4 linked regions of the Anolis sagrei genome follow. The protein of the gene in region 4 interacts with the protein of the main gene of each other region in a pairwise test. Links are inferred from orthologs where the notes say so. Each region holds a gene or a part of one and is shown on either strand. Other genes may lie near its edges.

Evidence for each region.
Region 1: the proteins of NUDT21 (region 4) and RPLP1 interact in a two-hybrid assay, tested with the Homo sapiens proteins (2 studies listed by BioGRID and IntAct). The link is inferred for Anolis sagrei from reciprocal best matches to the Homo sapiens genes NUDT21 and RPLP1.
Region 2: the proteins of NUDT21 (region 4) and CEP126 interact in a two-hybrid assay, tested with the Homo sapiens proteins (2 studies listed by BioGRID and IntAct). The link is inferred for Anolis sagrei from reciprocal best matches to the Homo sapiens genes NUDT21 and CEP126.
Region 3: the proteins of NUDT21 (region 4) and MYL6 interact in binary tests that used the Homo sapiens proteins (3 or more experiments, as listed by UniProt). The two-hybrid records come from large-scale screens. The link is inferred for Anolis sagrei from reciprocal best matches to the Homo sapiens genes NUDT21 and MYL6.

What each region holds. Positions count from the first base shown.
Region 1 is NC_090024.1:10,970,836-10,977,876, forward strand, and holds the start of RPLP1 (large ribosomal subunit protein P1), read right to left. Parts: upstream 3,008-7,041; 5' UTR 2,867-3,007; coding exon 2,795-2,866; intron 2,482-2,794; coding exon 2,407-2,481; intron 1-2,406. UniProt on the Homo sapiens protein: Plays an important role in the elongation step of protein synthesis.
Region 2 is NC_090023.1:22,936,150-22,943,349, reverse strand, and holds the start of CEP126 (centrosomal protein of 126 kDa), read right to left. Parts: upstream 3,017-7,200; 5' UTR 2,847-3,016; coding exon 2,668-2,846; intron 1-2,667. Other genes in the region: ANGPTL5 (angiopoietin-related protein 5), read left to right, coding at 6,598-6,696. UniProt on the Homo sapiens protein: Participates in cytokinesis. Necessary for microtubules and mitotic spindle organization. Involved in primary cilium formation.
Region 3 is NC_090022.1:138,221,387-138,229,120, reverse strand, and holds the start of MYL6 (myosin light polypeptide 6), read right to left. Parts: upstream 3,017-7,734; 5' UTR 2,917-3,016; coding exon 2,914-2,916; intron 2,709-2,913; coding exon 2,681-2,708; intron 1-2,680. UniProt on the Homo sapiens protein: Regulatory light chain of myosin. Does not bind calcium.
Region 4 is NC_090028.1:6,630,662-6,637,578, reverse strand, and holds the start of NUDT21 (cleavage and polyadenylation specificity factor subunit 5), read right to left. Parts: upstream 3,009-6,917; 5' UTR 2,903-3,008; coding exon 2,787-2,902; intron 1-2,786. Other genes in the region: prolyl 3-hydroxylase OGFOD1, read left to right, coding at 4,287-4,443, 6,554-6,699. UniProt on the Homo sapiens protein: Component of the cleavage factor Im (CFIm) complex that functions as an activator of the pre-mRNA 3'-end cleavage and polyadenylation processing required for the maturation of pre-mRNA into functional mRNAs.

The sequences.
Region 1 (7,041 bases), on a different chromosome or scaffold from region 4:
ATAGGAAGAAGAGACCGAAAATTCAGCCCTTGCCATGAATACTTGGTTTGCATGCTTTAGAAAAACACCTGTGTTCACTGGTAAACCCCTAGCTTTACTGGAAAACGACCTATAAATTTATTTATTTTATTATTTATTTACGGCATTTATATGCTGCCCTTCTCACCCCGAAGGGGACTCAGAGCGGCTTACAATATATATTTTCATACAATATATTATATTATTAGCATAGTACAATATCAGTATATATTACTATATTGCATTATACCATTATATTGTAATATTATTAGTAATATTACATGTAATGTAAATATATAATTATAATATTGAATTATTACTAGTATTATATTGTATTACATTATAATATCATATGTATATACAATATACTATATTATATTATCAGTAAAGACAAGATGGAAAATTATTATATAGTACAATATAATATATAATACTAATATTGTGCTATGCTGATAATATATATACACATTTAATATGAATAATAGTATCTAATGTAATACAAAAGAATACTAATATTGTGCTATGCTAATAAAATAATATATATACATATAATAGTATTATATATAATGGCACTCCATGCAGTCATGCTGGCCACATGACCTTGGAGGTGTCTATGGACAACACCAGCTCTTTGGCTTAGAAATGGAGATGAGCACCACACCCAAGAGTCAGACATGACCGGACTTAATGTCAGGGGACAACCTGACCTTACCTTAAAATAATAGTATTATAACTTGAAAACAACATATACATTATCTTGTGATTTAAAACTGTGGCACCTGTACCCTAATCCTATAGCCTTCTAGACTAGCACTTGATATCTCCTCGCCTCGTGGTAATAACGCATAAGACCACTTTTACTAGCAGGCTTATGTTTGGCCTGTGGGGGAAGGGTGATTGGGAAACTGTTTTAATCTGTTGTATTCCATCCATGTTTTAACTATTTTATAATTTGAAATGTTATATTTATTATTTGTATTAATATTGAGACATTGAATTTTGCTATAATTTGTAAGCTAATCTGATTCCCCTTCAGGGTGAGAAGAGCAGGGTAAAAATATAGTAAATAAATAAATAAAAATGTTATAGAATACTATCCTAAAATTATATACATTTTATAATAGTATTATAAAGTAATACAATCTAATCCTAATAATACAATATATTAATGATGTGCTATGCCAATACATTTATTTATTTATAGTATTTATATTTCACTCTTCTCACCCCACAGGGGACTCAGGGCAGATTACAATGTACATATACGTGGCAAACATTAAATGCCATAAGCACACAACATATATAGACAGGCACACAGAAGCTATTTAACATTCCAGCTTTCATGAGGGTATTCTGGCCACCAGGGGAATTGTCGCTTCACCATCCATTAGTGACAATGGAGTACTTCCTCATAGAATCATCGAATCAAAGAGTTGGAAGACACCTCATGGGCCATCCAGTCCAACCCACTGCCAAGAAGCAGGAATATTGCATTCAAATCACCCCTGACAGATGGCCATCCAGCCTCTGCTTAAAAGCTTCCAAAGAAGGAGCCTCCACCACACTCCGGGGCAGAGAGTTCCACTGCCGAATGGCTCTCACAGTCAGGAAGTTCTCCATTCTTTTTGCATAGTCGCTGAAGATTTTTATGGCGTCGTAAATTAGTTAAATTAGCCTCCCCGCATAAGTGGTGCCTAAATTTCCTACTTGACAGATGCAATTCTTTCGGGCTGCAGAAGCCGACAGCAAGCTACACAACAGTCGGAAGCGCACTCCGACCCCGGCTGGCTTCGAACTCATGACCTTTTGGTCAGTAGTGATCTTAATGCAGCTGACTCCCAGCCAGCTGCACTACAGTCGGTGCAATACATACACAGAGTATAATTTTAAGTTGTCATGTTTTTAATTGTGAGCCACTTTTGAGTCTCCTAATGTAGAGATGCAGTGGGTTAAACCCCTGTGCCAGCAGGACTGAAGACCGACAGGTCACAGGTTCGAATCCAGGGAGAGGCAGTTGAGCTCCCTCTATCAGCTCCAGGGGACATGAGAGAAGCCTCCCACAAGGATGATAAAACATCAAATCATCGTCCCCTGGGCAACGTCCTTGCAGATGGCCAATTCTCTCACACCAGAAGCGACTTGCCGTTTCTCAAGTCGCTCCTGACATGGCAAAAAAAGTGGGATGCAAGTTAATAAATATTAACCTGCAAGTATCTGAAATTTTCAGCAGCTACCTGATATCTGCTCTCATGAGCTAGAAGCTATTCATTGAATCCCTTGATATTGGCAACCCATCAGTATCCCATTACGAGGCACTTACAAAAGATCCCAACGCTGATACTGGCCATCCAACGAAAACCCAGTGATAAATGTTGGGATTGAATTTACCTTTGCAAACAGGCCAGGCCAGAAAGGTTCCACATTGACGCCTGCTGCTTTGATGAGAGCATTGATCTTGTCCTCCTAAAACCAAAGAATATGACATAGTCAGATACTATAAAGCAGGTTTATTTGGATGCAGGCATGGGCCGGTAGGCTGTTAGGAATTGTGGGAGTTGGAGTCCAAAACCCCCGGAGGGGAGGGCCCAAGTTGGCCCATGTATTAGCTCCGCGCATGCGCCCTCGCTCTTCCCAAGTTTGCCCATGCTTGCTTCCCAGCATTGCCTCCACGCATGCGCCCTCGCTCCTCCCGTTTGCCTTTGCATGCTTCCCAGCATTGCCTCCGCGCATGCGCCCTCGCTCCTCCCCGGCCTCCTTCCCTACTTCAGGCACTGACCGTGATGGCAACCTCGTCGTCGTGGAGGATGAGGGCGGAGTAGATGCAGGCGAGCTCGGAGACGGAGGCCATGGCGGGTCCGGAGAGGGGAAGAAGAGGGCGCGGTGCTGGTCGCCGGCTGGAAACTCGGCCTTAGCTTCGTCGGAAGGACGCAGCACCTTGTGCGCTCCGGCCTGAGGCAGAACAAGGAAAGGAAGGCCTCGCGCCCGCCGCGCCGCTTATCAAGCCCGTCTCGTCCAATCAGCAGCCGCCTCGGGACAGCGCGCTGGCCAATAAGCGACTCCTTTGTGTTTCTCGAGGGCCAATCGCGTCAGAGAGCGAGGGTGGGCCTCATGGGTTGGTCGGCCGGGTTTGCGCGAGAGTTCGCGAAGCCAATCAGAGCGAGGCATGCTCCCCGGTGAGACAAAACCGCGTGGTGTGAAAGCAAGAGCGTCCAATCAGCGAAGGACTTGTTGGCGCTTATAGAGATAGAAATTTTAAAGATGGCCACCGGGAGATTCAGGCCTTAAAGCGCCTTAGAGTTATAGAGCGTGTTCATAGAATCAGAATCATAGAATCAAAGAGTTGGAAGAGACCTCATGGGCCATACAGTCCACCCCATTCGGCCAAGAAGCAGGAATATTGCATTCAAATCACCCCTGACAGATGGCCATCCAGCCTCTGCTTAAAAGCCTCCAAAGAAGGAGCCTCCACCACACTTTCAATTAAAAACCTTATAAGGCAACTTAAAACGTACCAATATACAAAATAAAACAGTATTATCATTATATATTATTGTATATTATCAGTGGTATAATAACTAATATATTAATTAGTGGTATATTAATATTATACCAATTATAATTAATATTCTTATGTATTATTATAATTAATATATTTCTATTATATTGTATAATTATATTGTGAAGATTGTATACATTACAATATTATTTATAATATATGTCTATACAATACAATACAACCAGAGATATGTAGTCACCTACGGATGTGAGAGCTGGACCTTAGGGAAGGCTGAGCGAAGGAACATAGATGCTTTTGAGCTGTGGTGTTGGAGGAAAGTGCTGAGAGTGCCTTGGACTGCGAGAAGATCCAACCAGTCCATCCTCCAGGAAATAAAGCCCGACTGCTCATTGGAGGGAAGGATACCAGAGACAAAGTTGAAGTCCTTTGGCCACATCATGAGGAGACAGCAAAGCCTAGAGAAGACAATGATGCTGGGGAAAGTGGAAGGCAAAAGGAAGAGGGGCCGACCAAGGGCAAGATGGATGGATGGCATCCTTGAAGTGACTGGACTGACCTTGAGGGAGCTGGGGGTGGTAACGGCCGACAGGGAGCTCTGGCGTGGGCTGATCCATGAGGTCACGAAGAGTCGGAGACGAATGAACGAATGAACAACAAAATACAATACAATATTAGTGTTATATATATTATTATATAGTATAATATTGTCTTACTATTAATATAAGTTTATACAGTATATTAGCATAGCACAATATTAGTATTATACTATACGTAGTATATTATACTATATATACGGTGGCGCAGTGGGTTAAAGACCAGGAGGTCTCTTCCAACTCTTTGATTCTATGTAAACCCCACTTGCCTAGTTTCCAATAAATCTCGCAAACTCTGAGGATGCCTGCCCTAGATGCTGGCGAAACGTCAGGAGAAAATGCTTCTGTAACATGGCCATACAGCCCAAAAAACTTACAGCAACCCAGTGAATCTGGCCATGAAAGCCTTCGATAAGACAATAGAATCAAAGAGTTGGCAGAGACCTCATGGGCCATCCAGTTCAACCCCATTCTGCCAAGAAGCAGGAATATTGCATTCAAATCACCCCTGACAGATGGCCATCCAGCCTCTGTTTAAAAGCTTCCAAAGAAGGAGCCTCCACCACACTCCGGGGCAGAGAATTCCACTGCTGAACGGCTCTAATAATAATAATTGTGCAGAAGCCATTGTTATTATGTTTGTGTTTAACTGTTAGAGTATGTATTTTTGTTTGTAACAGTAGCTAAAACTGGAGTCATCTGGTTTGAATCCACAGTGAGCGTTGCCAAGGAGACGAGGCTGGCTAGCTCATGAGAGGGAGAAGTGAGCGGAGCCAAGCAGGAAACGTTATGTGCGTTTTTAAAAAAGGCCAGAGAGTGAGGCTTGGAAAGGCCTGAGAGAGAGGCTTGTGTGTGAGCGGCTGGTGTTTTTTCAGTCTAGGAGGGCTGAAGAAACCTGGCCAGATTCTTTAGTCAAAGAAGACAAACGGAAGCCTAGTTAAGATCCCTAGTTAAGGAAGGACTAGAGATCAGAGATTTGATCGAGGGAAGATCAAATTGAAAGGCTATTTGTAGTAGTGAAACATTGTTCACTAGAGAGCTTCACTTCAGTGAAAGTTAGCCACAAGCTGTGTTATTTATTTATTTATTTATTTATTTACTGTGCTTATATACCGCTGTTCTCAGCCCGGGGGCGACTCACAGCGGTGTACAACATAGAGAGGACAGGGTGCAAATTACAAGACACAATCTAAAATCAATCTAGCAATAACAAAAAACATCGTCATCAACAACATCAACAATATCAATAATACAAAAAGCCATTTGCGTCGTCTCATCGTTAAACCACAATCCAGTATCATTTTCCGTTGTTCCATTCCTGTCGTCATTACCAATTATTGCACTTCTTGTTCGAACGCCTTCTTGAACAGGCAGGTCTTTAGTTTCCTGTGGAATATCATCAGGGAAGGAGCCAGTCTGATGTCCATGGGAAGGGTGTTCCACAGCCGAGGAGCCACCACCAAGAAGGCCCTGTCTCTTGTCCCCGCCAGGTGTGCCTGTGAGGCAGGCGGGATCGAGAGCAGGGCCTCCCCGGACGATCTCAAAGTCCCCGTGGGCTCGTAGGCCAAGATGCGGTCATATAAGTATCTTGGGCTGGAACCGTTTATCTGGAAGAGTGGACTGTATTATAAACCACATGATGTTCAAAGTTCCATAAGTTATTTAACAGCCTGCAACTATAAGCTTTGTACACAATAAAGTTGTTATCTTTGTTGAAAACCGTCTCATCTCAACTAATCTGCGTCTGTAGAGCCAGATCTCATCGGTGGTACCTCAAACTGTTGGTGGCCGTTACCTTAATTTACAAATAATAATTGGCCTCCTCCATAATATTCTCTTCTACACCATTGAGGCCTGAGGTAAATTCCCTCCATAACACCCACATCTGTACAGTTGGTGGCAGCGGTGAGATTAAAAAGTGCCTGAGGTAAAATACTTCCATTATTAGGACCTCAGCAACACACAAGCACCTCCTCGCAACTGGTGATAGCGGTGGGGATCTTCAAAGCTAAAATCCCTATACCCTGTCCATTGTTGAGTTCACATCTTCCCAATAATAATAATGAGTCTTGTTTTCTATTTGTTTCGTGTGAGCGAAAAGCAGGCCCACTTGAGGGTGGCTCCGAGGCGGGAAACCCTGAGGAGGGTTGTTTGAGGGAAGAGAAGGCCGCATCTCTGAGGGCGAGGCCTGGTGGAAGTCCTGAGGCAAGAGCGGCCTCCCTCCCTCCTTCCTTTCTATGACTATATATATATTTATTATTTATTTATTTATTAATGCACTTGTATACCGCTAATATCTCAGCCTAAATCGGCGACTCATTGCGGTTTACAACATTTAAAAAACAATATTCAGTTAAAAGCATAAAACACATATACAGTACAAATTATTGGGCCACCAATAACAATCCTATGCATCTCATAACTGGAATCGTAATCCAAAATTCATCGTCCGTGTATAACCAATCCTTAGTCATCACAATTCGTTACAACGGATTAACCGAATGCTTGTTTAAACATCCATGTCTTCAATCTTTTCCGAAACACCATCAGCGAAGGGGCTGATCGTACCTCTATGGGGAGGGTGTTCCAAAGCCGGGGGGCCACCACAGAAAAGGCCCTATCTCTCGTCCCCGCCAGCCGAGCTTGAGAAGCAGGCGGGATCGAGAGCAGGGTCTCCCCGGAAGATCTCAAACTCCTGGTGGGTTCATAGGCAGAGATGCAGTCAGATAGGTAGCTTGGGCCGGAACCGTTTAGGGCTTTAAAGGCCAACGCCAGCACTTTGAATTCAGCCCGGTAGCAGATCGGTAGCCAGTGGAGTTGGCGCAACAGGGGGGTTGTATATATATAATCATAATAATAATACTACAGTGTGTGTGTATATATATATATATAGTAAGCCGCTCTGAGTCCCCT
Region 2 (7,200 bases), on a different chromosome or scaffold from region 4:
GCTGAAGTTAACCTAAAGTTGAAGAACAACAAATGTGGTCATCCAAAAGTAATGAATGAAAATAATTACACATTCCGTATGGCTGATCTACCCCATAGGACCCTGTCAAACATTACAAAGCAACAAACCCCAAGACTTCCCTCAGTCTACGCCAGTGGTTCTCTGCCATAGATGTGGGCGAAAAGTCTGGAGAGAATACTTCTGGAACAGGGCCACACAGCCTGTAAAACTCACAGCAACCCAATGATTCTGGCCATGGAAGCTTTTGATAACACAAGATATAAACTGCCATATAATCCAATTCAATGGAGATTTTATACAGCTATGTGGAAAGGGCCTCATCTACACTGCCATATAAAATCCAGGTTATCTGCTTTGAGCAGGATTGTATGGCAATGGAGACTCATATACCCCAGTGCAAAGCAGATAATGTGGATTATCTGTCTTGATCAGTGTTTCTCAACCTTCCCAATGCCGCAACTCTTTAATACAGTTCCTTATGTTGTGGTGACTCCCAACCATAACATTATTTCCAATTTTAACTCTACATTTGGCCTCCCCACTGTTTTTAATTATGTGTTGTTTTATTGATAATGTTGTGTATCTTACTGGCTATGTGTTTTTTAATTGATTGTATTGTTGTTATTATTGCTTGTATTGTTGCGTTTGGGCTTGGCCTCATGTAAGCTGCACCGAGTCCCTTGGGGAGATGGTAGCGGGGTACAAATAAAGTGTTGTTGTTGTTGTTGTTGTTGTTGTTATTATATTACTATTATTATTTTAGTTGCTACTTCATAACTGTAATTTTGCTAATATTATTAATTGTAATATAAATATCTGATATGCAAGATGTGTTTTCATTCACTGGACCAAATTTGGCACAAATACCCAAATATGAATACTATTGAGGTTGGGGTGGGTGGGTTATTTTGTCATTTGGGAGTTGTAGTTGCTGGGATTTATAGTTAACTTACAATCAAAGAGCATTCTGAACTCCACCAACGATTGAATTGAACCAAATGTGGCACACAGAACTCCCATGACCAACAGAAAATACTGGAAGGGTTTTGTGGGCACTGACCTTGAGTTTTGGAGTTGTAGTTCACCTACAAAAATAGAGGGAGAAAATGTGGAGGCTGTGACAGACTTTGTATTTCTAGGTGCAAAGATTACTGCAGATGCAGACAGTGGCCAGGAAATCAGAAGACGCTTACTTCTTGGGAGGAGAGCAATGTCCAGTCTCGATAAAATTTTAAAGAGTAGAGACATCACACTGGCAACAAAGATCCGCCTAGTCAAAGCCATGATATTCCCTGTAGTAGCCTACAGATGTGAGAGCTGGACCTTAGGGAAGGCTGAGCGAAGGAAGATAGATGCTTTTGAACTGTGGTGTTGGAGGAAAGTTCTGAGAGTGCCTTGTACTGCAAGAAGATCCAACCAGTCCATCCTCCAGGAAATAAAGCCCAACTGCTCATTGGAGGGAAGGATACTAGAGACAAAGTTGAAGTACTTTGGCCACATCATGAGGAGACAGCAAAGCCTAGAGAAGACAATTATGCTGGGGAAAGTGGAAGGTAAAAGGAAGAGGGGCCGACCAAGGGCAAAATGGATGGATGGCATCCTTGAAGTGACTGGACTGACCTTGAAGGAGCTGGGGGTGGTGACGGCCGACAGGGAGCTCTGGCGTGGGCTGGTCCATGAGGTCACGAAGAGTCGGAGACAACTGAACGAATGAACAACAACATGTTATTGTTATTATTTATTTTTGTTTATGAGATTTATTTTACTGTTTTGTATTGCTTATTTTGTTACTGCCTTCGTTTTATTGATGTACTGTGGGCTTGGCCTCATGTAAGCCGCACCGAGTCCCTTGGGGAGATGGTAGCGGGGTACAAATAAAGTTTTATTATTATTATATTATTATTATAACTGCAATTTTGCTAATATTATTAATTGTAATGTAAATATCTGATATGCAAGATGTGTTTTCATTCACTGGACCAAATTTGGCACAAATACTCAAATATGAATACTACTGGGGTTAGGGGGTATTGAGTTTGTCATTTGGGAGTTGTAGTTGCTGGGATTTATAGTTAACTTACAATCAAAGAGCATTCTGAACTCCACCAACGATGGAATTGAACCAAACGTGGCACACAGAACTCCCATGACCAACAGAAAAGGGTTTGGTGAGCACTGACCAACAGAAAATACTGGAAGGGTTTGGTGGGCACTGACCTTTAGTTTTGGAGTTGTAGTTCACCTACATCCAAAGAGCACTGTGGACTCAAACAATGACGGATCTGGACCAAACTTGGCACAGATACTCAATATGCCCAAATGTGAACACTGCTGGAGGTTGGGGGAAAATAGACCATGACTTTTGGGAGTTGTAGTTGCTGGGATTTATAGTTCATCTACAACCAAAGAGCAATCGGAACCCCATCAATAGAATTGGTCCAAACTTCTCACACAGAACCACCATGACCAACAGAAAATTCCTGATGGTGTTTGGCGACCCCTCTGACACCCCCCCCCCCTCGACCTCCCTCCCCCCCCCCCCGGGGTCCCGACCCTCAGGTTGAGAAACGCTGGTCTTGATTATCTTGGGACCTTCCTGTCAGGCTGTTTCGGCCCCACAAAAGGCCGGCGGAGAGGAGAGGATACGGCGAGGAGGGGGAGAAAGCGGCCCAGGCCCGGCGCCCCAGACCCTGCGGCAGGGCGCTCTCCGAGAGGCCCTTCCTGAGGCCTTCCCCTTCGCGGCCTCGGCGCCAGGCCTCCGCCGCCCGCTCGGAGCCGCTGGAGGGGTTGCTGCCGCTTCTGCCGCCGCCGCCGCCGGGCTCCATCCATCCACCCCGCTCAGCCCGCCGCCGCCGCCATCGCCCTCTCGAAGGCCTCGCTCTGTCTTCCCCGAAAGGGAACCTCAGAACCAGGCGCCATCGTAGCAACCCGCGACGCTACTTCCTTCGCAACGGTAACCAAGGGAGACGGCGCGCGCGACCGGCGATTGGATGGAGCTAATCCAAAATGGCCGCCGGGAAAAGGGGCGGGGCGACAAGGAGGGGGCGGGGCCCGGAAGGCAGCCTTTCAAAACAATCCTAAGGCACTGGGTTAGCTTGCGACTGGGGCCAGCCAAAGTGTTTCCTTTGGACTTCATTTCCCAGAATTCCTGACCATTCACCCAGGTGACTGAGGCTTCTGGGGGTTGAAGTCCAAAGAAAACCTTGACAGCTACAGTTTTAAAGCCATGGTGCTCATCCAGGTTTTTTTTAAAAGACTTCATTTCCCAGAATTCCTAAACATTCGCCAAAGGGACTGAGGCTTCTGGGAGTTGAAGTCCAAAAGGAATAGTTCCCTATTGGGTTGTTGTAGGTTTTTTCAGGCTGTATGGCCATGTTCTAGAGGCATTCTCTCCTGACGTTTCGCCTGCATCTATGGCAAACATCCTCAGAGGTTGTGAGGTCTGTTGGAAGTAGGAAAAAGAGTTTATATATCTGTGGAATGACCAGGGTGGGACAAAGGACTCTTGTCTGCTGGAGCTAGGTGTGAATGTTTCAACTGACCACCTTGATTAGCATTTGATGGCCTGGCAGTGCCTGGGGAAATCATTCCACAGATATATAAACCCTTTTTCCTAGTTCCAACAGACCTCACTACCTCTGAGGATGCTTGCCATAGATGCAGGCGAAACATCAGGAGAGAATGCCTCTAGAACATGGCCATATAGCTCGAAAAAACCTACAACAACCCAGTGATTCCGGCCATGAAAGCCTTCAACAATACAATAGTTCCCTATGTTTTGTCTTCCAGAGTTTTCAGTTCAACTTCCAAAAGCACCAGCCAATTTAGACAACTGCCAGGATTTATGGGAACTGAAAATATTGGAGACTTCTGGGAGTTAAAGTTCAAAATATATTATTATTATTAATAATAATAATAATAATAATAATAATAAAACTTTATCTATACCCCTCCACCATCTCCCCAAGGGGACTCAGGGCAGCTTAGATGAGGCCAAGCCCAACAGTACAGCAAATATACAACATAAAATACAAACATTATGCAACATATAATGAAAATAAAAATAAATACAAAAACAATATAAATGAACACACCAAACAATATAAAATCACAGTAATTGGCCATATAGTACTAGCATTTCAAAGCAGTGGTGATTCTAGGGTTTTTCAAGACTTTATTTCCCAGAATCCTAAACATTCGCCTAAGTGACTGAGGCTTCTGGGAGTTGAAGTCCACAGACCTTGATAACTCCAATTTACAATTGTAATGCAATGGTGGTCCTTCCAGGGTTTTCAAGACTTCATTTCCCTGAATTCCTAAACATTCGCCTATGTGACTTAGGCTTCTGAGTCCAAAATATATACAGTACTAGCACTTCATAGGCAATCTTTGGTCCTCCAGGGCTTTTCGGGACTTCACTTGCCAGAATTCCTGATCATTCGCCCAGGTAACTGAGGCTTCTGGAAGTTGAAGTCCAAAAAACCTTGACAGCTAGAGTTTTAAAGCCATGGTGATCATCCAGGGTTTTAAGACTTCATTTCCCAGAATTCCTAAACATTCACCAAGGTGACTGAGGCTTCTGGGAATTGAAGTCCAAAATATATAGAGGACTAGCATTTGAAAGCAATGGTGATCCTCTAGAGTTTTTCAAGACTTCATTTCCCAGAATTCTTAAACATTCACCAAGGTGACAGGTTTCTGGGAGTTGAAGTCCACAAACCTTGACAACTCCAGTTGTAAAATAATGGTGGTCCACCAGGGTTCTCAAGACTTCATTTCTCAGGATTCCTAACCATTCGCCAAGGTGACTGAGGCTTCTGGGAGTTGAGGTCCACAATGTATAGAGGACTAGCATTTGAAAGCAAGGCCCTCTCTCTCATTCCCACCAACCAAGCTTGAGATGGAGGTGGAACCAAGAGAAGGACCCGGGCAGGTTCGTACAAGGATATGCAGTCAGCCAGGACCTGAACCATCTAGGGCTTTAAAGGTCATAACTAGCACATTGAATTGTGCCCAGAAACAGGCTGGCAACCAGTGGAGCTGCAGCCACAGTGGGGTTGTCTACTCCCTGTAGCCAGCCTCAGTGAGCAATCTGGCTGCAGCTGTTTGGACCAGCTGAAGTTTCTGAGCACTCTTCAGAGACAGCCTCACATAGAGTGCATTACAGTAATCCAGACAGGATGTAACTAAGGCATGTACAGAGAGTCCCCAGTGCCAAGGGCAGTTTCTCATGAGAATATTCCTGCTGGGCCTAGCAATGATGGTTCACTCCCTGTCCCTGTGAGCTCTCAAGATTTGGGTTTGGAAAACAATCTGACACCTGGGCATTTTAATGAGTAGCCAGATAGGGAGTTGAAAATAGGCGGCTGGAGATCAGTCAGAATTGACTGCAAACTCAGTATTTATGTCACTCTGAAAGGCTTCGTCTGATAAAGGGCAAATGTGGGGGAAAGCGAAACCAATTTCTGGGTTTTGGGATACAAGGTTTGCTTCAAGGGAAAACTTGTTAGATCAATCATCGTTTGGAAATCAAGTTCATGTGCAATGGAAATCCTGTTCCTGTGGAGTTTTTTAAGCCTTTTTGATTGTCATTGCATCCTGTTGATTCCTGTCTGGATAAACACTGTCTTGGATTGCTTTTATATCTTGTGTGGACATTGCTTTGTGTTACTGCCTTTTATGGACATTACTTTTTGGAACCTTCCTATTTTCTTACAAGCATTTATTTCTTCTGGCTATTTACTAAGCTTCAATAAAAGAAGATTTGTTTCTTCACTCTTCGCGTGGTGTGTTTTAAAGTCAGAGGGCTTTTTCCTGACCTGGAGTGCAACAATAAGCTCCTCCACACCATAATGACCATCATCCCATCCTGCACAGAAAACAAGATCCAAAGTGTGTCCTGCAGCAAGGGTAGGGGAAGACACCACCTGGGAGAGACCCAAAGTTGTCATGGAGGCCATGAGGTGGAATCCTTTTTATGTGGAAGCCTTCACTTTACATCAAAAGAGGGTAGAAGGAATGAAGACATTCAAAGATCCAAGAACAGGAAAGTCCGTTGTAACATTTCCATACTCAATATACTTCTTTCTTTTCTCCTACTTCCCACTATGTGAAGAAGAGGAGAGGAGATAAGGACAAGTAGTGGATAGATTAGATGGCAAGCTTCAATGGATCAAGGAGGGTCTCCAGATACATCTTTTAAACATTTAGAGATAATGGTCAGAATGGATCTAGTAACAACTGGTATGTTTATTTAAGTATGCTATATTTGCACCTGTTAAAAAGAATACAATAGTTATTTCCCATTAAGGAACAATTGTACAGCATTAATAGCTGGGCTGTGGATAAAATTGTTGAATGATGTACAATTCCTTTGGAGATCAAACCATATTTGGTTTACTTAAAACCATTTATGTAAGTGTTCTGAACTTGAAACATAAAAGGGCTGGCTTTCTGGCCAATGTTTGTGTTGTACACATTCCTGAATTCTTAACTCAAGATTTCATCAGTGAGTGGCCAGTGTTTTTCGAGGCAGTTAGAAATCTTTTGAAAACTTTCATTTTCTTCAACTCAGAGATGATCTACCCCAATGCATCCTCATTGATCCTGCTAAATGTTCTCTTTTTCATTTGGGCTGATACTGTATTTGGTAATGTCAAGCCATGTTCTGCAAAGGTAAGGTTTAAAATGAGTTGTCTTAATAAATTAATACACTCTAGTGACTTGAGACAGCAATACTATTTTTGACTCTCTCTTTCTGGATTGGGAGGGGTATTGCATATAGAGAGAGTAGATGAGTTGCTGTTGAAAAGACTTTGTTAAAAGTAGTGCAGTTTACTAAAACTAGTAGACTTTTATTAAAGCTAGTGTTGTGGCAGAATAAAATTAAAGCTCTCCTCAAATTACAGGGAGTTTTGCCACAGACAAGACCTTTTTAACTAAGTTACTAATAAAAGTAGAATATAGATACATTTAATATGGGTTTGTAATGTTTGGATCAATTTCTAGATGCATGCCAGTGTAAATCCAAAATAACTGTTTTTCTGTACATTTTACTTGTGTAAGAGAAAAACACTCTTATCCATTTAATCTGGGTAAACTTTTGCAATTCTTTTTCATAAATCTGGGAGGGTGAGTCTGGGTTTGTGCAGAATTTTTGGAAATAGTTTTGATTTAGAA
Region 3 (7,734 bases), on a different chromosome or scaffold from region 4:
CCCCTCACCACAGGCTATGCCGAATTATTGCAGAAGGAATCGTAACACAACAAACATCTGGATGGCCACATATTCCCTAGCTTTGGGGTAATGGAATACTGCTAGACACAAAGGTCATTGCTTCTTCAAGAGCAAGGGGAAAAATCATTTTTGCTAACTTGTGATGCTCCCTTTAAGGTATTGTTCTGTCTTCATCCAGTATACCCCAAGTGGCACATTTATTACAGTTTGCAGTATGTGGACTGTGCAGATTTAATCATATAAGTAATTAAGAAAGCATGCAAAACTGGCAGGAAATCTTTTAAATTTAAGAATATGTCAGCAAAATCCTTAAAATGTTCATGCACAAATCATGCAGCATGTCACATACCAAGAAGACAACGAAGAGGCCCATGCAACCTTAAACACCAACACATCTATTACAGCATGTACTCTGGTAGTATATTGCCCACTTTCTCTGATACAAAAAATTCAGCGCTATATATATGAAAAAGAGAAGGAAGATTCTTGTGATATCTTTAACGATTTGATTTCAGCATACCTTTTGGGGGATTCATCTTATATCAAAATAAATTAGTTTTAAAGATGCCACAAGATCCCTTCCTTCTTTTAATACCAGCACTAAGTACATAGAGTTGGATGCGTGCTGCATTTATACTTCTGGCCAAGCATCTGAGAAAGTAGGCAAGAAAAACAAAAAGCTCATGATATAATAAAATGATCCAGTCTTTTGAGGTGCCACGAGCTCCTTTCTCTTTTTGCTGTTCCTTTGAAAACTGTCTCTAAGGAGGGAATCATGCCTTAGAAACAGGACATGATACCCCAATTCCCTTTCTAAATGCACACCTATTACAGCAATTTGAATCTCGGGGCATACCACAAGGGGCAGAGAAAAATTCAACTAGAAACAGAGCTTGACTGCTGCTCTTAAGACCTCTACACTTCGAAACTTCCTTCTTTGCCCAGGAATCTCTCTCCTCATTTACTCCGTCACTTGGGATCCAGGCAGGAATGTACCAGTAAGGCAGCTCCCAACCCTGCCTGCTCCAAAATGAGTTTCTTGCCCATATAAGGAAACCAAGACAACATATACTAGGCACCCATTTTGGCTCATTTGAAACCTCTTCCTTTCAAGCAGAGAAGCAAGCAGTTAAACAAAAAGTTGGGAGGTACAAGGCCATCCCCCAAGTCTTCCAAACTCTCCCAACACAAGGCAGGGGGTGAGAAAACCCTCCTTCCAAATTCAGCTGAATTCTGGAGAGGGAAAGCACCATTCCACCCGCCGTGTTCAATCATATCCTGTCTTTTTGCACAACACCCAAAGGGCCCCATTGCTTCAGAGAGCTGCCTGCCTGAGCCAATGGCATTCCAGTTTCAAATATGCACACTGAGCAGACTGAAAAGCAGACAGGCATCTAGCAATGGAGTGCGAAAGTGAATAATCAGAGGGATCTGGGTGGGTCTGCTCCCAACCGTTTGAACCAGGAAATACCATAACACACTCGCCATACCCAAGTGGGAGGAGGACAGTTTGCAGGCTAATCCTTTAAAAGCCTACGCAGAAGAGCCAGGATCAACTTTTAGAGAAAAGTAGAAGGCTCCTTAACATGGGAACAGGCAGCTCAACAAGGCCCCTTTCTACACTGCCATATAAAATCCATGTTACCTGCTTTGAACTGGATTATATGGTAGTGTAGACTCATATAATCTAGTTCAAAGCAGATAATGTGGATTTTCCGCTATGATAATATGGATTATATGGTAGTGTAGACTCATATAATCCAGTTCAAAGCAGATAATGTGGATTATATGACAGTGTAGAAGGGGCCCAAGATGAGAGAAGCCACACTTAACACTACATGCAGCTGGCTCTCTGTACCCATGGATCCTGCATCCACGGCTTGGAACTATTCTAAAAAAGCAACCTTTGAGTTTACCATGGGATATTTATTACGCTTTTGTGTCTAATAGGCCTTGAGCATCCATGAATTCTGGTATCCTGGAACCAAACCCCAGTGGATTTTTTTTATGTGCCAGGAGCTACTTGAGAAACTGCAAGTGGTTTCTGATGTGAAAGAATTGGCCATCTGCAAGGACGTTGCCCAGATGTGTTACCATTCTTGTGGGAGGCTTCTCTCTTGTTACTGTTAGTTCAATGCAAATGGTATGCACCAGAAGTTTAGTCACATTATTAGCAACAGGGACAAATGCTGAATTAGTCATATGAAGTCCAGTTTCCTCAAACACACACACAACTCACCATGAAGAGTCTGTGATCAAGGGTGAGGAAAGGTGGGAAGGAGAGAAAAGCTAGAAGAAATGGAAAGGAAAGGTGGGGGAAGAGCCACGAACCCAAACAGGCCTGGAAGGGGATCAAACGTGAGAAGACTCCACTGAATAATTAATGCAGTTAGGCATGACTTCAACTGCCCTGGCTCAAGGCAATGGGATCTTGAGAGCTGTAGTTTTGCAAGGTTTTGAGCCTCCTCTGTGGAAGAGTGCCAAAGTACAGCTGCCAGCATCCCACAGCATTGAGCCAGGGCATCTGAAGCGGTGTCAAGCTGCCTCAGTTCCCCAGTGCAGAGAGATGCGCCTGAGGAGAGGGGCTCTGCCTGGTGGCACCCCGACTACTTCCTCCTCCCTCTCATCCCCTCCAAAAAGAAGGAATAGCGGGGCCTACCTGCGGTCTGGTCTTCGGAGAAGTCACACTGCAAAGGAAACACAACCAGAGAGGTCACTTAAGGGGCCTTCCCCCTCGCAAAGCCCACGCCGCCCCTGCCTCATCCCTGAAGGTGACCCGGGATTCCTGGGGCAGAAGCCGCACCCTGAAGCCCCCACCGCTCTCCCCTCAGGCTCCCCCAACACAGGCGCTCCAAAGCCCCCCAAAGCTTGTCGCCCCTGCCAGGCACTCACCATGGCGGCGGCAGCGGCAACAGCAGCAGAGAGTTCCTTCCTCCTGGCCGGCGTTCGGACAAGTGGCACCTCCTTCCGCCCTGGGCGCGAGCGAGCTCTCTCCGCCGGTTGGTCACGGGGAAGAAACGCGTCCTCTGATTGGCTGGACGGGAAAGGCAGAGGGCGGGGGGAAGGGCCGCGCTCCAAGGGGAGGAGCCTCCCCTCCCACTTCTCCAGGAAGTGACTGCAGTCGGCCTCCTTTTTGCCTATAGAAGGGCGTCCCGGCCACCAAGCGCGCGGGGCGGTGGCTCGCGGCGGGGAGGCCGCTAGGGATGCCGGGAAATGTATTCGCCAGAGGCAGGAAAACTTGTTCGAGGCCTTGCTGCTCAGGAGCCCTGAGTTTAGAGTAGTCAGGAGGCCAGTCAGTGTCCTGTGAAGGAACACATTGGAGGGCCTTACAAGTGCCAGTAAGGAGGCACCTTCACTGTGGAAAGTGTGCAATTTGACGCCACTTTGACTATGTATTGTCCGAAGGCTTTCATGGCCAGAAGTGCTGAGTGTTTTCTGGGCTGTGTGGCCATGTTCCAGAAGCATTCTCTCCTGACGTTTCTCTCACATTTATGGCAGGCATCCTCAGAGGTTGTGAGGTCTGTTGGTAACTAGGAAAATTGGGTTTATATATCAGTGGAAGGTCCAGGGTGGGAGAAAGAACTTCTGTCTGTTTGAGGCAAGTGTGAATGTTGCAGTTGGCCACATTGATTCGCATTTAATGGCCTTGCAGCTTCAAGGCTTGGCAGCTTCTTGCCTGGGGGATCCTTTGTTGGGAGGTGTTAGTTGGCCCTGATTGTTTCTTGTCTAGAATTCCCCCTTATTTGAATGTTGTTCTTTATTTACTGTTTTAATTTTAGAGCTTTCTTCCATCCTTGTAATTCCATAGATATTTGTTGTTCATTCTTTTAGTCGCTTCTGACTCTTCGTGACCTCATGGACCAGCGCACGCCAAAGCTCCATGTCGGCCGTCACCACCTCCAGCCCCTTCAGCGTCAAGCCAGTCAGTTCAAGGATACCATCCATTCACCTTGCCCTTGGTCGGCCCCTCTTCCATTTTCCTTCCCAGCTTCATTGTCTCCTCCAAGCTTTCCTGGCTTCTCATGATGTGGCAAAAGTACTTCATCTTTGCCTCTAATATCCTTCCCTCCAATGAGCAGTCAGGCTTTATTTCTTGAAGTATGGACTGGTTTGATCTTGCCATCCAAGGCACTCTCAAAAATTTCCTCCAATACCATAGTTCAAAAGCATCTATTTTCCTCACTCTTCCTTATGGTCCAGTTCTCATATCCGTAGGTTACTACGGGGAATCTAAACCCAATTTTCCTAGTTTCCAACAAACTTCACAACTTCTAAGGATGCCTGCTGTAGATGCAGGCAAAACATCAGGAGAGAATGCTTCTGGAACATGGCCATACAGCCCAGAAAACTCACAGCAACCCACCACTTTGACTGTTCAGTTCTGTAGCATCTTGGAAGTTGTAGCTTTACAAGATCTTGAGCCTCTGCTGAGAAGGACCTCACCAAACTTCAGACACCAGAACTCCATAGCATTGAGCCACGTACATTAAAGTGGTGTCAAACTGCATTCATTCTACTGTGTATTTGGGCCTTGAAATATGATGGGGTAGACCCTGGACTGCAGTAATGCTTAATTATAGGTGAACCTACATGGAATTCATTTCCTCCTGAGGAGGGATGCATGGTTGCTATTCCCATTCTGGACATGTATTGCTGCTCTTGAAAGAAATAGGACGCTGAGAAGGTTTGTTTGAACTCTTGGAACAAAACACAAGAATTCAGAAATTTGGAAGTGAAATTGAAATTCAAACTCCTAATCTAGTAATCTGGAGATAAACATCCTGGTATAAAAATTCCATCTCTGGTAGGGACTTTTGAAATGTTAATGTCTACTTGGCACCTAGGTAGATGAGGAACCTAACTTAAATAACACTGGCCAACACACATTTTGGTGCCTCGAATCTTACACCTGTTTCTGAGTATATTCGTTTTGCTGATTACAAAAACGGCACCAGATTCTCTTTATCAGCTCTAGTTTTTGATACAGAACATATGCCATCTACCAGTTGTCATCTGCTCACCTACAGACAAATGTAATAACCATATCTGTAATAATTAGATCTGATGTGGCCTACCCAATGCCATTTTCTGAATCGGCGCCCCAAATAACCCCAGGAACAGGCCTAATAACCAAGACACCAAGAATATTGTTTTTGGATTGGACTGTGTAATTGATCCCATTGATGTGGATAGAACAGACTTTCTTCCAGCTAAATATTTTTATATTATTGCTGATGAAACCTACTGCATTTTGAGCAGAGAGAGCCTGCATCATGGATGGAATATGTGTGTGTCACAACTGTGTCTCATTTGCCCTTCTAACTTAAATTATATTTGTATAGACATTTTAGTGGTAACACCTGTCTAGATCTGAATAATATGTTCTACCTATATATACTAAATATATATTTGGGGAAGGAGAAAGAATGGAAAAGATAAACAACTGACTAATCCTCCCATACAGGCTTGTATTAATGTTGTGTCTTCAAGTAGTTTCTGACTAACAGCAAGTCTAAGGCTCTGTCAGAATGTTTTCATGTTTGGAGGGGCTTTGCCTTTCTCTGAGGCTGGGAGAGTGTCTCCAGAGTAATAATCCAGTGCCTAAACCACTACACTACGCTAGGTCTTGGACTCTTATTGTTGTTATGAATGAGAGACCTTCAAGCCAGCCTGTCACCAAACACCCTGCTCATGTAGTTTGTTCTCAGAGACAGATCTCATTGTCTATTACTACCTCATGTTAATAATACATATATAGATGATATCAGTAAGAAGCATACTACAGAAGTTTCCATGTAATGTCTCTCAGCCCTACAGTACATGGCACAGACAATCTAATTAATTGTGGAAGGCTTTCACGGCCAAAATCACTGAGGTGTTGTGTGTTTTCCAGACTGTATGGTTGTATTCTAGCAGCATTTTCTTCTGACATTCAATCTGCATCTGTGGCTGGCATCTTCAAGTATCCTTTCCATACAACCTGGAAACCACACATTCCAGTAATTAATTGTGATTGTGGGGATGTTGATATATTGTGGTTGTGGGGATGTAGGAATATAAATTAAGTTTTATTATTATTTATTATTATAACTCTCTTCTTGGTGCAGTTATCAGGCTTTAAATAAATATAAGGCGTTCAAGGAATCAACATGTATGGCATAGAAAGTACATACCTTTTCATTTTCAGGAGGCAAAACACTTCTTGGCTTTATTGATTTGTTCTAAAGCACTGAACCATATAGGCATGAAAATTAACAAGTGGATGGAGCCTGACTTTTTTCCCCTGCTGTCCAAAAATATAGGAGCTCTCTGGTTTTCATTCAGTTTCTCAGCATTTGAGTACAAGGAATGTGACAAGGAATGCAGTGACAAAACAGAAACTAGAAATATCTGAAAATCAAATTTTTTATTGTCCAGAAGGGAAAAAATTGTTTGTGTCTGCAGTCTCATAGATTTTGGTTCTGTACCATTTCAATGGTGCCCCCTTCTGGTTCAATGCGTGATCTTTCACTGATGTCCCCACATTGTAATATAAATAAGATTACTTTTCAGTCTAGATTGGCTGAGGAGGGCGAAGGGACTCATTGCAGACTTTGTTTACGCAAAGACAGATAGAAAAGGAATATCAACTGCACTGGGAAGCAAAGGACTGAGGAGTCCTGCTTGAGAGGTACAGCCATTCAGCACCATTTTAAGCAGCTCTGCGGAGAAAAAGATTAGTATGTGATTCTAATGTTCCTAAGGATCAAATGCTGACAAGTGTTGCTAAAGAAGAGCATGCAGCAGCAACTGATATATGAAGAAGTAAATGCCCAGCATAGTCTCATTTGACTTTATCTGTTGTGTCTTGGCAAACATTGGCACAAGTAAATAGTACTGCACTGATTGTACTGGTTGAGCATCCCTTATCTGGAATTCTGAAATCCAAAATACTCCAAAATCTAAAATTGTCCACATAGATTTCTGAGATAGAAAGCACCTTTGCTTTCTGATGGTTCAGTGTACACAGACTTTGTTTCGTGAACAGAAGCATTTAAAACGTACAATATTGCCCTCAGTGAATTGTATAAGGTGTATATGAAATGGTTACATGTTTAGACTTTAGTCCAGTCTCCACAATGTATCACTACACACACACCTACACACACACACAAATATAGATATTTCAAAATCTGAATAAATTCAAAATACCATACTTCTGATCCCAAGCTTTTTGAATAAGAGATACTCAGTCTGTATATGAATATTTGGGACTGTTTCATTATCTGGGCAGACTTCAAAAGGGAGCCTAGACAGACTAAGGATAGTCAATTTTATTGGGGGGGGGGGAGTTGAAGAAGGAAAACAATTTCTCCCATTTTCACTGGTTATACCCCCCCCCCCTTTTCCCATATGATAAACAATAGTTGTTTCGAGGACATCAACATGACTGGGGGGTATAACAGGAAAACAAATGGTTTAACTCCTTCAACCCACTTCCCCCTGTAATATGGACTATCCTTCTCTGTCTAGAGCTCCCGTGTGGCCTCTACCCAGGTAATGGAACAGTACCAAATATTCTACACCTTGAAGAATATTGTCTTTTGTCATTCAAGACAAAATATAAATGTAAAAGATGGTTTTCTGCCATCTGAAGAGACATTTTTAATAAGGGTTTAATATCTACACAGTTTGCTTTTATTTACTCTTATTGCCTCATGTATCACCCAAAAT
Region 4 (6,917 bases):
TGTATGAGGGTATATGTGTGTTTTTGGATATATATGCAAATGTATACAGGTGCATATATGTCTATATGTGTGTGTATAGACACATGTATATGCATATGTGTATGCAGATATATATGTATGTATAAGTAAAGGTAAAGGTAATCCCCTGACATTAAGTCCAGTCATGTCTGACTCTGGGGTGTGGTGCTCCTCTCCATTTCTAAGCTGAAGAGCCAGCGTTGTCCATAGACACCTGAAAGGTCATGTGGCCAGCATGACCGCATGGAGCGCCGTTACCTTCCCGCTGGAGCGGTACCTATTGATCTACTCACATTTGCATGTTTTCAAACTGCTAGGTTGGCAGAATCTAGGGCTGATAGCGGAAGCTCACGCCGCTCCCTGGAATTGAACCTGCGACCTTTTTGGTCAACAAGCTCAGCACCTCAGTGCTTTAACCCACTGCGCCACCGGGGGCTCCTTTGATTGTAGGCGAACTATAATTCCCAGCACATGGAATGTGTGTGTGTGTGTGTGTGTGTATATATATATGTCTCTATATATGTAGGTATATTTGTGGGTGGGGATTTTAATATATGCATATATGTATAATTGTATATTTATTTATTTACGACATTTCTATGCCGCCCATGAGGTCTCTTCCAACTCAGGTGCATGCATGTCTCCATAAATCTCTATGTCTCTATATGTGTGTATGCGCATATATGTATGTGGGCATATTTGTGTTTTTGTATATATATGCAAAAGTACACATATGTCTATATGTGTGTGTGTGTATATATGTGCATATTCATATGTATATGTGTATGCAGATATATATGTTTGTATATGTTTTGTATATGCGTATACAGATTCATGCATATGTATATATGTCTCTATATATGTATATATATTTGTGGGTGAGGATTTTAATATATGCATATATGTATGATTGTATATTTATTTATTTACGACATTTCTATGCCGCCCTTCTCTCCCCGAAGAGGACTCAGAGCAGCTTACAAGATATATATACATACAATATATTATATTATCAGCATAGTACAATATTAGCATTAAATATTAAAGATGGAGGGGTAGCAACCCTTCTCACCCCGAAGGGGACTCATATAAATAGACAGCTAGGCATATACAAGCCCTATGAGAACAAGCCCTATGAGGAGCGGCTTAAAGAGCTGGGCATGTTTAGCCTGAAGAAGAGAAGGCTGAGAAGAGACATGATAGCCATGTATAAATATGTGAGAGGAAGCCACAGGGAGGAGGGAGCAAGCTTGTTTTCTGCTTCCCTGGAGACTAGGACGCAATGGAGCAATGGCTTCAAACTACAAGAGAGGAGATTCTATCTGAACATGAGGAGGAACTTCCTGACTGTGAGAGCCATTCAGCAGTGGAACTCTCTGCCCCGGAGTGTGGTGGAGGCTCCTTTTTTGGAAGCTTTTAAGCAGAGGCTGGATGGCCATCTGTCAGGGGTTTTTATTTGTCGTGTCAGAGCAACCAGTCCATTATATATTACATTTCTAACAGAACAAAGCAAACAGACAGAAAAATACACATCTTGTGAGTTTGGTAGTTGGTTAAATGTCCTTTGACCAGTATCTGGCCACTTGGAGTGCTTCCAGTGTTGCTGCAAGAAGGTCCTCCATTGTGCATGTGGCAGGGCTCAGGTTGCATTGCAGCAGGTGGTCAGTGGTTTGCTTTTCTCCACACTCGCATGCCAAGGATTCCACTTTGTAGCCCCATTTCTGAAGGTTGGCTCTGCATCTCGTGGTGCCAGAGCGCAGTCTGTTCAGTGCCTTCCAAGTTGCCCAGTCTTCTGTGTGCCCAGGGGGGAGTCTTTCATTGGGTATCAGCCATTGGTTGAGGTGCTGGGTTTGGGCCTGCCACTTTTGGGCTCTCGCTTGCTGAGGTGTTCCAGCGAGTGTCTCTGTAGATCTTAGAAAACTATGTCTAGATTTAAGTCATTGGCGTGCTGGCTGATAACCAAACAGGGGATGAGCTGGAGATGTCTCCGCCTTGGTCCTTTCACTATTGGCTGCTACTTCCCGGCAGACGTCAGGTGGTGCAATACCGGCTAAGCAGTGTAATTTCTCCAGTGGTGTAGGGCACAGACACCCCGTGATAATGCGGCATGTCTCATTAAGAGCCACATCTACTGTTTTAGCGTGGTGAGATGTGTTCCACACTGGGCATCATAGCGCAAGGGCAGATGTCTTCACTGTGTCTGGTTGTGATCCCCAGGTTGTGCCAGTCAGCTTTCGTATGATGTTGTTTCTAGTGCCCACTTTTTGCTTGATGTTCAGGCAGAGGGGAAACAAACAGGCACATGAAATCACTCTAAACAAAAGATTCCCCCCAGGCGCTTCTAGGCCATTGAATGCTAATCAAGGTGGTCAGTTGAAACATTCACACCTCGCTCCAGCAGACAAGAGTCCTTTGTCCCACCCTGGTCATTCCACAGATATATAAACCCATTTTCCTATTTCCAACAGACCTCACTACCTCTGAGGATGCTTGCCATAGATGGGGGCGAAACGTCAGGAGAAAATGCCTCTAGAACATGGCCATATAGCCCGAAAAAACCTACAACAACCTTATGTAGATATATTTGTGAGTGTGGGTTAATATGTGCATTTGTGTATGTGTGTATAGATAGACATATATCAACGTGTGTGTGTGCATATACATATATGTGTGTGTGTGTGTGTTTCCAGCAGTAGCATTATGCAATGAGCTGTCCCAGCCTAGGCCCTCTTCCCCACCCACCCCGTCGGATTGAAGGCCCGACTCACAGGTTGATGGTCCTCTCGAGGGTGAGGGGCTTGCTCTGCTGGATGTACTTGTTCCCGAACTGGTTCACCCCTCGGGGCCAGCCGGTCTGGGAGCGGTTGGGCGGCACGACGGACATAATGGAGGCCCACGCGGCGGAGGCTCAGGAAGACACCGGCATCCCCCACCAAGCCTTAGCCACCCCGCCAAAGGCCGCGCCGGAAGACTAGGCCGCACTTCCGGCGAAGAGGCCATTCCCGCTTTCCTTTACACTCGCGCGCGCCACGCAGCCAATCAGAGCGCGTGCGGCGGGCTGAGCTCTCTTCCTATTGGCTGTCAGGAATCAATACTACGGACTCCTTTGAGTCGATAAGCACCAACCTTTACCCTCTCATGGACGCGCAGCCAATCGGAACGCGCGAGGCGGGCTGAGCTCTACTCCTATTGGCTGTCAAGGATTGATACAGTCTCCCGCGGCACAGCCAATGAAAACGCGCAAGGCGGGCTGTACTCCATTCCTATTGGCCGTCAGGAATCGATACTTAGTTCCCATTGGTTGCTATAGCGCCGGCATCTCTCCTTTTAGCAACCTTTCATTCCTATTGCCTGTTACCGCGGCGCAGCCAATGAAAACACGTGAGGCGGGCTGTACGCTACTCCTATTGGCAGTCAAGAATCGGTACTGCCTCCCGCGGCACAGCCAATGAAAACGCGCGAGGCGGGCTGTACTCTATTCCTATTGGCTGTCAGGAATCAGTACTTAATTCTCATTGGTTGCTATAGCGCCGCCATCTCTCCTTTTGGCAACTTTTCATTCCTATTGCCTGTTACCGCGGCGGAGCCAATGAAAACGCATGAGGCGGGCTGTAATCTATTCCTATTGGCTGTCAGGAATCGGTACTTAATTCCCATTGGTTGCTATAGCGCCGGTATCTCTCCTTTTGGCAACCTCTCATTCCTATTGCCTGTTACCGCGGCGCAGCCAATGAAAACGCGCGAGGCGGGCTGTACTCCATTCCTATAGGCTGTCTGGAATCGGTACTTAATTCCCATTGGTTGCTATACCGCCGGCATCTCTCCTTTTGGCAACCTCTCATTCCTATTGCCTGTTACCGCGGCGAAGCCAATGAAAATGCGAGAGGCGGGCTGTACTCCATTCCTATTGGCTGTCTGGAATCGGTACTTAATTCCCATTGGTTGCTATAGCTCCGGCATCTCTCCTTCAATCCTATTACCTGTTAGGGTTAGCCCATTCATTATCTATTATAATATAAACGTAATTTTAGGAATATATATTTATATATATATATATTAAGACTTCCAATTGATTTTACCATATTTTAAAACTATATAGTATACCCTCACTGGATTAGAATAGCAGTCCAATTTGAATCTCTTTTAATCCACCTCCCCCGGGCTCATTTGGTATGTTCCAAATCCTAGCACGCTGATTGGTCAAGCGGTTTTAGGCCCCGCCTTCGCGCTGAGGCAAACCGGAAGTAGGCCCAAACAGAGGGGAAAGCATGAGCGTGCGGCAGCGCAAGGCAACTGTGGCGGGAGAGGCGGCCAAGAAGCGTCTCAAGCGGGAAGAACGGGCCGAGTTCTCCGCGGCGCTGAGGGAGAAGGACCTGAAGGAGAAGGCGGGCGCGGCCTGGGCCCGGAAAGAGGCGCTGCGCGACGGTAAGGCCGCCTTGGGCCGCAGAGTGGAGGGTGAGGCCTGGCGCCAGGCAAACTGGGCCCGCAGTCGAAATTGTTGTCGGTTTTTAAATATATTTTTGCTCGTTTAAATATTTTCTAAGTCATAGAATGTATTTTATTTATTTATTTATTTAGCAATTTTGTATACCGGTCTTCTTCTCCCCTCTGTTGGGGGACTCGGGCCGGTTTCCAACAATAAAATCACAAAACAATCATTAAAAACATCATATAACATAATCCAATTAAAACGTAACAGCAAAATGCAATCCCATAATAACAATGGTCAGTCGTCATAGTGAATTCGTTGTCCGTCATTCATCGTCATCTCTGGTTGCTTCTGCCTATGATACTGTGAACCACCGCCTCCTCCTGAGAAAAATGTATAATATTACAAAGGACGACCACCTCACCCGCGTCATAGGAAACCTGCTACAAAACAGGAGCTTTTTTGTTGAGTTCCAGGGCCAGAGAAGCAGATGGCGGAAACAGAAGAATGGCCTGCCTCAGGGGAGCGTGCTTGCCCCATCCATGTTCAACATTTACACAAATGACCAGCCACTGCCAGAAGGGACAGAGAGTTTCATCTATGCTGATGATCGTGCCATTACTGCTCAAGCAAGGAGCTTTGAGATGGTAGAACAGAAGCTCTCTGAAGCTCTAGGTGCTCTTACTGCCTATTTCAGGGAAAACCAGCTGATCCCTAATCCATCTAAAACACAGACTTTCACCTCAAGAACAGACAAGCATCCCGAGCTCTGAGGATCGCCTGAGAAGGAATCCCACTGGAGCATTGCAACACACCCAACATACCTGGGAGTCACTTTGGACCGTGCTCTGACCTACAAGAAGCACTGCCTGAACATCAAGCAAAAAGTGGGTGCTAGAAACAACATCATACGAAAGCTGACTGGCACAACCTGGGGATCACAACCAGACACAGTGAAGACATCTGCCCTTGCGCTATGCTACTCTGCTGCTGAGTATGCATGCCCAGTGTGGAACACATCTCACCACGCTAAAACAGTGGATGTGGCTCTTAATGAGACATGCCGCATTATCACGGGGTGTCTGCGCCCTACACCACTGGAGAAATTACACTGCTTAGCCGGTATTGCACCACCTGACATCCGCCAGGAAGTAGCAGCCAATAGTGAAAGGACCAAGGCAGAGACATCTCCAGGTCATCCCCTGTTTGGGTATCAGCCAGCACATCAATGACTTAAGTCAAGAAAGAGTTTTCTAAGATCTACAGAGACACTCGCTGGAACGCCTCAGCAAGCGAGAGTCCAAAAGTGGCAGGCTCAAACCCAGAACCTCAACCAATGGCTGATACCAAATGAGAGACTCCCCCCTGGGCACACAGAGGACTGGGCGACTTGGAAGGTGCTGAACAGACTGGGCTCTGGCACCATGAGATGCAGAGCCAACGTCAAGAAATGGGGCCACAAAGTGGAATCCACGACATGCGAGTGTGGAGAGGAGCAACCCAGTGACCACCTGCTGCAATGCAACCTGAGCCCTGCCACATGCACCATGGAGGACCTTCTTGCGGCAACACCAGAAGCACTCCAAGTGGCCAGATACTGGTCAAAGGACATTTAATCAACTACCAAACTCACAAATTTTGTATTTTTGTATTTTGTCTGTCTGCTTTGTTCTGTTAGAAATGTAATATAATTGACTGGTTGCTGATGACTCGATAAATAAATAAATATCATCATCATCATTTAATCTCTCATTAATCACCCTCCATCCAAGATGCTCTAGGCGATTTACAAGCTTAAAATTATATGCCACCCTTCTCACCCCAAAGGGGACTCAGAGCCACTAACAACACACACACACACACACACACACACACACACACACACACATATATATATATATATATATATATTCTGTTCTTATCAGTTTAAAAAGATTTTCTTGATGAGTATCAAGCAGTTGTAAGCCGTGCCAAATCCCCTCTGAGAAATGGGGCAGGGTATAAATAAATAAAAGTTTTTATTATTATTAATATTATTATCAAAGTTGATACAAAGAATCCAGAATACCTGATTAAGGAAATGTTCCTCTTCTGTTTTTCCTCCAGAGGCTGTTGTGCTGGACCCGGCCCCTTTCCCTCACTGCGTCATCACAAACTTCATCCAAACCGAAGGCTTTTTGGAAGGGCTGCAAAAGGAGCTTTTGAGCCTGGATTTCCATGAAAAGTGCAATGACTTGTACAAATTCAAACAGGTATGTTATTTGGTAATCATCATTAAAGCACTCTGTGATGTTGGGGTTCGAGCATTGAACCGGGTTTGAATCCTTCCTTGATGTTCAATTCCCCCTCCCCCCGATATTTTTGAGGTTACAAAAAAAAAATAACCTGATTTATTCATGATTTCTAACTTGTTTCTAGCACGAGGTTTGAGAAGTATAATCTTTGCCACAAATAAGCAAAGGTGGGTTAG